3 linked regions of the Drosophila melanogaster genome follow. The protein of the gene in region 1 interacts with the protein of each later gene in a pairwise test. Each region holds a gene or a part of one and is shown on either strand. Other genes may lie near its edges.

The links.
Region 2: the proteins of HP6 (region 1) and CG14183 interact in a two-hybrid assay, tested with the Drosophila melanogaster proteins (one large-scale study listed by BioGRID).
Region 3: the proteins of HP6 (region 1) and dmt interact in a two-hybrid assay, tested with the Drosophila melanogaster proteins (one large-scale study listed by BioGRID).

Annotation. Positions count from the first base shown.
Region 1 is NT_033779.5:4,577,214-4,579,982, forward strand, and holds HP6 (heterochromatin protein 6), read right to left. Parts: upstream 1,006-2,769; 5' UTR 891-1,005; coding exon 570-890; 3' UTR 506-569; downstream 1-505.
Region 2 is NT_037436.4:20,026,000-20,029,758, reverse strand, and holds the start of CG14183 (uncharacterized protein), read left to right. Parts: upstream 1-1,923; 5' UTR 1,924-1,997; coding exon 1,998-2,733; intron 2,734-2,787; coding exon 2,788-3,112; intron 3,113-3,169; coding exon 3,170-3,459; intron 3,460-3,521; coding exon 3,522-3,678; intron 3,679-3,726; coding exon 3,727-3,759. Other genes in the region: Lamtor1 (late endosomal/lysosomal adaptor, MAPK and MTOR activator 1), read left to right, coding at 807-887, 950-1,113, 1,381-1,514, 1,574-1,644, 1,700-1,792.
Region 3 is NT_033777.3:9,709,189-9,712,947, reverse strand, and holds the start of dmt (dalmatian), read right to left. Parts: upstream 1,807-3,759; 5' UTR 1,739-1,806; coding exon 1,258-1,738; intron 1,199-1,257; coding exon 1-1,198. Other genes in the region: trbd (trabid), read left to right, coding at 3,433-3,560, 3,624-3,759. UniProt on the Drosophila melanogaster protein: Regulator of sister chromatid cohesion in mitosis. Probably involved in development of the central nervous system.

The sequences.
Region 1 (2,769 bases):
AATGTCGCTGCAAGAAAGGTGCGCCACCAATTTAACCCTTTTTTTTATGTACGTATTAGTTGACTGCGTGAATCTTGAGGCGCCTGCAACATGGAATCTGAGAGCTGAGTCTGATCCTGCGGCTTAACCTTCTTTTCTAATTGCAGGTTTTCCAACGCCCCGATGTGAAGGTCACTGACAGCATTAAGTGCACTGGAAAAAGTTTAATGAGGCAAGTGCACCATTTATGAACTGTTTTTTTTATGAACTTTCAAATACCCCTACAGACTTTTCGCTCGGTGTATACATACACGTATAATTTCGCGCCCGGCAGATAATGCCGCCGGCCTGTCTCCAACATCAAGCTGCGTCTAGGAGGCGGAGGGCGTGGCTGGGCCGAGCTAAACTCACTTATTCACCTGCCCGCATGCCAACAAAGTGCAGCATCAGCAACCAGTTCGCATGAAAATGCATAATCAATCACCAGCGACAACGGCGACCAGAAAATGAAGAAAAACTCGTGGCAGAAGAGTCAATACTCTTTATTGACATTGCACCGCAATGTCTTCGGTGCACAATAGTTTTATGGACTAGGCATTTCGTGATCGTTTCTTCCTGGGACTCGGAGTGGTCTCATACCCATTGTCCGACTCCAAGTCTTCTTCATCGCCCTCATCCGTGAACACAATACGCTCCTCGTAGAACGAGATGACCATTTGGGGGCACCGAACGTTGAGCACTTCGGCGGGCACCAGGCCGGCTTCGTCGCAACCCTTCCACTGCATCAAAAAGGTCAGCTTACCGGACCAGTTGCAGGCTCCTAAGATCCGCAACGGTTCGAGTCCAAGATCAAATCCATTTCGTTGCTTCACCGGAAGAGCAGTAGAGGACGTCAAAGTGGAGCTGGGCATCTTCCGTTTGGTTTTAGATATCGTGGGATTTATTTCAATGTAATCTATTTTTCTTTTTTCGACGCGCGTAGCCAATTGTCACGTTTTGTCAAGTGTTTACACACCGAGATATTATTTTTCAGTTTCGATAACTGTAGGTATCGACATGCTTTGGCAACCCTTTCGATGTGGCAGCCCTAAATGATTAATTTGAAAAGCGTTAGAGAAAATGGAAATAAAATTGTACACTCCCCTTGACTGGACATATTCTTTCAGATTTAGTTAGGGTATTGTGCATTCCAACGCCCATTGAGCGTATCATTGGTGCATCTTCATCTGACATTTCGCACGACTCGAATGTCAAGGCGCGATTGCCGGCGATACTACTTGCGATATTGGCCTCTTACGCGGCTCCACTTGTTAACTTGAATTCGTGTAAAGTGGCCGCTCATTAAAAACTCATAAATCAGGGCGGAAGGGAGGAGGGTTTTCGGTGGCACCGCCGCCAGTAATTGCCGTTGCTGGCCCAGTGTCAAAATAAAGGCAAAATAAAGGAACCCAACTCGTCGGCGGAAATGATCGGCCACCAGGTGATGGGGATGGTGGGAATGGGGCATATGGATACTACAGCTAGCTGCCAGTAATTTCCGCATATTGGAAGTCTCGTACTCTCAGATGGGCATGTGATTAATGATTAATCTGCTCGGTGCATCCGCCGCTATGACATTTAGCCAACGCCGCCTGAGAACCCGCTGCAGCAACAAAAAGAATCCGATTCGGAATCAGAAACAGAAACAGAAGTCGGTGGCGGGGTGGCCAGTTAAAGCCGAGGTCTCCGGTCGCCAGTTGGAGCCATTAAACGCCGCTGGAGCTGCTTGGGCGCACAATTTAAAGCAGCAACTAACGCAGTTAGACAACAAACCACTTTCAAGAGCTGGCTGGCAAACAGGGAAAACGGCTTTCAACTCGTTTCGCTGCCCGCTCAGATGCAGTTGCATACACTGAGGAAAGTGATGTATGAGTTCTTCAATTTAATCGATTTTTGTGTAAGAATATTTGGCTCGGTGTGTATGTATTCCAGAAAAATAATTAATTCCAAAAGTATTTAGAAACAACATAAACTTTTTCTACATTTTCCAAAAGCTTTTATATTTAAGAACATATATATTATTAGTTTTTCATAGGAAATAATTTTCCTTCTCAAAACATATTTTTTCAAGTGTACTGCCGTTAATGCTGCTGATGCCGTGGGTGCAGCCGTTGAATGTTGCATGCTGCTAGTACGTTCAACTTTTGCAGTTAACAGTTAGATTTTGAAATGGCCAGCAGCACTGGCATCGTCGTCGGCAATGGTATCGGTTCTCTGGGATTCCAGTTTTCTGGCCACAGCCTGAGAACCCGGCGATCAAGATGCGCGGCTCCACCACGACGGAAGGAAATTGCCGTCCAAGGCGAAGTCACAGCTCCGATCGCAGCATTGCGCACATCAAATAAATACTGGTACTTGGCAATTTTTGTGTTAAAACAAAATTAAAGCAATGCCAGCCGTGCTGCTCTGCGGTGTAACATTAACCCAAATACATAATTCCCATTCTCGCCTCATCGGCATCGGACAAGGATCGGCGCATTAATCATTGGACGGCAGGGGGACAGCTCTTGGGAAGCGGCAGCATATTTGGGTTTATGGGTGAGCCCCAGTATCCTAAGCAGGAAATCATTAGAGTGCGATCCAAGGAATCCGCAGGGGTTTGGCTCATGCATACATACTTATACGTATTTCTTGGGAATTTTTTTATAGATCTTGGCTCTGCCTGATGGTCGGTTTCTAAGCCATCAAGCGGAGATCATCGCGTGACTGGGCAACAAAAACCCATTATAAATTCCTCACATTTATGATGTG
Region 2 (3,759 bases), on another chromosome or scaffold:
AGAAACCCCAATATTACACATTATGTTATTATGGTTTTACATTTTTCAGAGGTTCTTCTTGTGGAAAGGATAGCAAAAGCTGTCAGCACTGCCACACATGCCCCCATGTCATGCAGCCTCGGCAATGAATTTGCGTTTCCGCCTCGCCGCTTTCGCCATCATGGTTAACCGCGTCGTTGATTTAAGGGCGTTCTCCGTTCCTTGCGAGTAGCTGGCGTACTCCGCATCCTTTGTCCTTACTGCTCGAGCGACACAATTAAAAATGTGCGGCCCAATTCATTTGATTGGCACGAAGGAAGCGACGAGATAAGCAACTTCCGTTGGCTGAAATTTTGGCATCTTCATCAATCAAGAATGTGCTCGTTCTCGTGGGCTGGCTGTTGGGGAAAATGTCATATAGGTTGATAGAAAAAACAGCAATATAAATATTTCAAATTAATAATTGATGTCTACCAAAAGCAGTTAAATTTTTTAATATCTTCACAATTATTGCCGATTTCCAATAAAAATATAACAAATTAATAAAGTATAAATTTAAATCAACTTAATTCCCAATAAAAAGTATTTCATAATAAATAAAACAAGGATAACGCTAGGAACAGTAAGTAATAAACTAGTATTCCCTTATGAAAACCCATGAATTTAATGTCCGATTAAAATTGTAATATTTAGCGCCTAATCGATAACAAGTATGTATACAGCTGTTTTAAACTGTCTGGTAGCACTGATCTTATCGAATATGTACAATTCCATCCCTAGAAAAACTTGCATAAAAAATAAAGAACAATTGAACAATTGCATTTAGAATGGAGTATGTGCACTCTGTTTGGAGCTACCTAGCCTCGATCTGCAACTGCTGGCAATGCACCGAAGATCCAGGTGCGCAGGTAATCCGCACATTCCCCTTTCCCCGTCAACAGACCGAATACACAATGCGTTCCATCTGCAGCCCAACGAGCCGAACGAGCGGACACACCTTCTCGTGGACCCGGTGAACCATAGTCCTGCCCTTCGACGGAGCAACTCCGATGGCCTCAGCACCGACTACGCCCACTCCCTTCCCAAGAAGGACGATCAGAACGCCCTCTCCAGACTGGTGCAGAATACTGCGATGTACGTAGTTGATAGTGTATAGGGTCCACATTTGGCACTATCATATACAATTCCATTGATTGGAATGCTAGCATTTTACAGCGATTGCTATACTATACTATACTATAGTAGTATACCTACGTAGTTATAGCGATGGCAGGATCTAGTATGTAGTATGGTTATACCCAAGCATTTATCGGGATGTTCAATGCAACAAAGCAACACAGCCCTAATTATCGCTTATCTATATTATATTTGTATTCGCTTATACGCTACTTTGCTCTCCAGAAACATGATAAACGTTGGAGCCATGGACTGTCACAGCCTGGAGCACCAGGAGTACGCCGATAGAATAAGATTGTACTCGCAGCGGTTGCATCAACAGTGGAACAACGGCCAGCACGCCAGTATCGCACCAAAAGGTTTGCAATATAGCTAGATTGAAAGGGTGAATGATGACTAACAATTAAATGAACAACAGGTCTCCTTAAAGATGTACCAAGCCATCAGTTCTATCTGTCTAAGCCAACCTATCCAGATGACACTGCTCAAGTGAGTTTTACTTTTCGCAAATTGCTTGTTGCTTACCAATTTCGTATGTTTTTAGATGAAGCTCTTCACCGAGAAGGCACACATCAGTGTCTCGCACATACAGATCGACCACAAAGAGGCCGTGGTTGTTCCCTTCCGGATTCCCTGATTATCGTATCTTAAGTGAAATAAAGTGATAAATTTATATAAAATCAAAATCTATATTGGTACTAAGTAGCCCTTGAATAACCAGGTAATCGACTTATTTTCATTAAGTGTACAGAAGCAAATAAATACATACTATATTCTTAACACGGCAAGACATTTTTTTTATTTAGGAAGGCACACACACACACATATAGCTAAAATCCAAAATGTCGTTCGATCTTAACCATAAATTTTGGGTCTACACGCGCAAGGAAATTGGTAAATTAATCAAGAAGCAGAACCGCCTGAAGAAGATTGAGCCGCCAGAGGAAAAGGCAGTATCGTATAAAATTTACGCAGAGCTCTATGTTTTGTATGTGGAGCTGGTCAATAAGTTAAGTTTCATATACCACAATACTTTCCAAGTGCAAAAGCGGGCATTGGTACGTGTTTTGGTGGAGAATGCCACTCAGCAGCTAATGCAACTCAAGGAGGAGTTAAAAGACTTGGAAATGAGCGAATACATTTACATAGATAAGGCGCTGATCGCTAGGAAGCTAACACCACGGGACCTGGTCGTATGGAGGTCACCACAATTCCTTTACCGTCGCCCGTTGGACATTCAAAATATCATTGCCGACAACCGATTGTACATGAACGATGAGGAAAAGGAAGAAAAGGCAGCCCAGGATTGGGTTCCGATCAGTGAGGCGGTCAAGCTTATCCAAGCTCACGAGAGGGCGCGCCGAGCTCGGGTTTACAAGTCCAACATAAAGTACGACAAGAAAAAGTTCCTCAAGGTCCATCAAAGAAAGAAAATAAATTACAAATTCACCTTTAAGCCTGATCAGGCAATGAGTATTCCCGTGAAGAGAACCATTTTTTCAGCTGACTTCTTGAAGGCGGACGAGTCCTGCGAAAATCTTATCAAAAAGGATGATGTAGCGGATACCGCAATAGATGGCAAGTAGCTAGATCGTTTCAAAACAATTAATTTGGTTTTTAATTATTTTCTAGATGAGGAAGCCTTAAGTGCAATACAGAACAATGCTGCTTGTAAAATCCAAAGTTGTTGGCGTGGTTACAAGACGCGGAAAATAGTTAAGATTAGGAAGCGGTTCAAGGAGGAATTGTATGGTATGAAGAAAATTAGGAAACTGAAGCGACCCAATCAGACGGCAAATTCTATTATGGAAATGTACAAGAACGAGATGCTCAAGAAGAAGCTGGATGAGGACTTCATCAACTTGATCAACGATGAGCGCACCCGATTGCTGCAATTCCGAAGTCCATGGATGATGGAAGATATATCCGATCATATCCGGGCATGGTTCAAGGAATTGTGAGTTGTTTTTCATTGAGGCAAAAAAGGCAAAAACGTATAACTCGTACTTAACAGCTACGACGCGACTGGGAATTTTCATCCTTATCCCGATCCTGTAAAACAAGGAACGGTACTGGTTGTCATTGATGAAACAATGACGCCAATGGAATTTCAGGAAAGCCTTGGTAAAAAGCCGCTGTCAAAAGCCGAGTTGAAGAAACTTCGCGATAAGGAGAAGAAAGAGAAAAGGAAAAAGAAGGAAAAGCTAAAACAACTGAAAATGAAGGAAGCTAAACGTCGGAAGAAATTGAGAGACGCTGGAGTCATCGATATTGGCTACGAGCTAACTGCAAGCAAGGCAATTGGTAGATAGTTTGACTTAATGGAGAATGTTTCCATTGTCTCCAAATACTCTCTTCAATTTTAGAAAACATTGAAGAAACAATGAAGAAGTACTCCAAGGACTGGAGAAATGTCGATGAATATCTAAACAAGAATCATGATCCCATCAAGGAATGGGTTACTGAGGAGCAACTGGCAAAGATTCATCAGGAAGTGAGGGGCTTGGTCGACGAATACATGAGGTAAATTTATTTATATTTACAATGAAAATATAACTTTTCAACTTCCAGGGTTGAGTATGAGTTGCTGCGGGAGGCCTTGGC
Region 3 (3,759 bases), on another chromosome or scaffold:
GTAGGAGTGATTTCTTTTGAAACAGTGGCCGTCACGTTCTTCTTCCAAGACGGCAGTGTCACTACTTCTAGTATGTTAATATCCTTAAAGGGCGTTCGTTTCTGCAGCGTTCTCCGAGGATTCGGCAGGTGCACAAAGTTCTCCGCATTCTCTTCGCTTTCCTGGTCATTGATCGACATCGATTTGCTAATTGTGGGAGGGGGACGGTTCTCCTCATTCGAGTCGTTCGCATTTGAGTCATGATTTTGCTCGTGCAAAGGCGGACAAATGGATTCCTCGTGAGGGATGTTCTCAGCATGCTCTACCGGCGAATCTGGCACATAGACATGCCGACGTTGCACATGATCACTGGAGTACGATGGCATCTGGGAGTTGTTGAAACCAAACATGAAAGTATTGGGCAATGGTGAATCGTCGGAAACGCGCCAGGGGGATTTGCCTCCCGCGGTCCTAACTGCATTTGGAGACTGGTGGGCAATAGGCGACAATGCAGTGGTGGTGGCACTAACATCTGTCACCGGAGGAGCTCTGCGATTCAGCGGCGTGCTAACCAATTGTCGCGCCATGTTGATAAGTTCTCGACGTCTGTCTGTAGATGGCAGTGGATTTTGCGCCTGGGTCTGGTTAAGCATTACGGATCGGGCCAAATTACTGTAGGCTCCTTCGTGCGCTTGCTTAGAAGTGCTCGGCTCCACATGTACCTGGACGGGCACTTCGATGGGCTGCACGTATCCGTGCTCCGAATCGTTGCTATAATCTTCCTCGGGCTCGAAAATGGTCGATAAGGAGCGTGATGGCTTTTGAAGGCGCGGTTCTATGGACTTGGGAACGACCTTGACTGGCTCAGGCTCATTGTCTTTTGTCGAAACCTTTCTTCGATTACCCACAGGTCGGACCTTCTTTGCTGTTCTTTTGGCTCTCGGTTTGCCGATTTTTCTTGACCGCACCATTACGCAGGCCTTTCCATCCTTAACCAAACGCTGAATTATGTCTGCCGCCGGATCCTCCCTGTCACTGTCATCTTCGATCTGCGACTGCGACAGAAAATCGAAAACGTTGCGGGTCACCGATGATCGTGTCCTGGTTAAAGGCTGATCTCTGTGGAAGAAACGAGGTGGTTTTTTGGGCGAAATCTCAGCTGCCGGTCCACTAGGGCTTTTACTCCTTATGCGTTGCTGACATGGCGATGTTTCGGGACCTGCAAGTAGTTGTGCTTATCAAGAAAAGTCCATCATCCGCCTGGTGAGAGCCTCTTACCTGCCACATTTTCCTTGATATTTTGGGGTTGCGTTGATTTCTGTACCTTCGAAGGAATGTACATCGTCGAGTTGCGAGCCGGCTCAAAAGTGCTGGCATCCACATCAGGCGCATCATTTCGAGAAATTTCGGATACGACACCGTTTTTTACCTTAATGCGCCTTATTTTTACCACGCATTTTCTTATGCGACACTCTGGCTCGTTTAGGGCTGTCAAAGATTGTTTGTTTGATAGTTTCGTGGGACGCCCGGGTTTTCGTATTATCGTGGTCAAATCAGCTCCGAGTTTCTTGGGACGCCCGGGTTTACGTATTGTGGTCAAATCAGCTCCGATGGACAGCTTCTTGGGACGCCCGGGTTTGCTTATCGTTGTGCTTAAGTCAGCTCCGATGGACTGTTTCTTGGGACGCCCGGGATTGCGTCTCGTTGCGGTGTTCACATCTGGCGACGGAACACACGGCACCGGCCGTGTTCTTACCATTTTAAGAATATAATTTGTTTACCAAATGAAATTCATGTACAGCTCCCGCCATTTTATTTACTAGTATGACCATCCCCCGATCTCTAAGACTTGCCATGAAAACCACTGAACACCAGTAGGTGTGAAGCTTGACTAACCAGCTAACCGAGACACTTTTCAACACTGAGCGCCAGGGACGGAGCACCGATAGTTGTCGATAGGCGGACAGAGAACCAGATGATTGGCCTCGCAATAATGTAAAAAATAAATAATTAGCTGTTTCCAAATAATCCAAATTCCAAATTCCTTGCACTACGATCCACCGTGCGTGTGTTCGTCGCCGTGAATGTGTGCGGGCAGTTTCGTTTCACGCGCCCCAAGCAAGTACAGCTGAAAATTGAGAAGGAAAGCAAGAAAGAAAACCCCCCAAACTGAAAATCGAGTGAAAGTTTTCTCATCGTCTTTGTTTTGTAATTGTGATTTTCCTGCCTGCTGCCAGCGCTCATTACTGGCAATATTGGATCGACGTCGACATAGTGTCGCTGCTGCGGGCGCGGGTGGCCGACGGCGACTATAGCAACTACACCTTATAGCTACTATAATACTAATGCTATACTCGCGGTCCCTATTGTGATTGTGTTATATATTTAAATCGACTCGATTCGAATCGAATCCAATCGCTGTCGTGGTCGCAGTCGCATTCGCGTTTTCTGGGACTGCTGCAAAAGGCCTTGCGATTTTCTGCGCCAGGTACTGTGTAAAGACGTCGATGTGGGAAGGGGGGTGGAGGCGGTTGTGGGATGGTTGGGATGGCACGGGGCGAATCCCAATAAGAAACTAGCGCGAAAACTGGCATACCAGCGTACATACATACGTACGTACATCGCACGCGACACATGCCATACATACATAGGCGAATTATAATGGCAACAAATAAATGCAACCGACCCAGCAGTTGAACCACTACCACCTATACCACCACTACTACCAAAACCAGACCCTATCCAATTCATTCCAATCCAATCCCAGGCAACGAGAACCCGAAGGCTGACTGTGACGCCAGTGGGGGAAATGGAAATGGAGCCAAGGCAGATGTACATATCTGTGGATGTATCTGCGAATTATGTCTCAGGGTCAAGGACACTGCTTCTGCCTCGCTAACCGTTGTTTGACCTTATTAACGAGTCGGAAGTGGTGGATTCGCCGCTCACCGACTTTAGGGATACCCTTTCGGTTCGCTTATCCAAAGAATAGTAGCTTAGTAGATACATTCATTGGTAGATAGTTGTCCCCCAAAACGAGTCATGCATATAGTCTTTATACTTTGCAAAATAAGTCAAGGTAAATTGAAATGTCCTCCAAATTGTAGATTTCCCTGCGTACTTATAAATCCAATATTAGTTTTTAGATAATCTTTTTCTTTTGAATGCAACATCTCATTAACTTCCGACAAAAGTCAACATAGCTATACATTATTGATCAAACTCTTCGTATCTTCAACCAACTTCGACTAAAATGATTGTCTAAGCTTACAATTGTTCAGAAATTAAACTATTTTGAAGTAAAAAAGGCAGCCAGGTGGATTTGACTAGTAAAAGCATATTTTATGGGATCCCCTTACTTGGTGACACTCGTGTATCCCATATCAAATATTCAACGTATGATCCCTTTCTCCTTGGCAGATCAACTGCATTGGCCGGCTCCGCGCATAAACAATGTGCGATACCAAAGACGATGCGCAGAAATGGAAATGTGAAACTTGCACCTACGAGAACTACCCATCCTCGCTGAAATGCACCATGTGCCAGGCGTCCAAGCCGCTGCTCAACGAGGACATCTTCCGGTATGACAACTCTGACGATCTATACCTAATCTTCTGCTAATTAATACTTGCTAATTCTTGCAGTCTGAGTCCAGCCCAGGAGAGCTGCACCGTTGCGGAGGAGGCGGCTGCCGTCGAAGTAGCCGTAATGTCGCCCACACCTTCGTCCACGTGCTACTCGCTCCAGCCGCAGAGCCAGGCACGGCAGAGCAACGTGGCG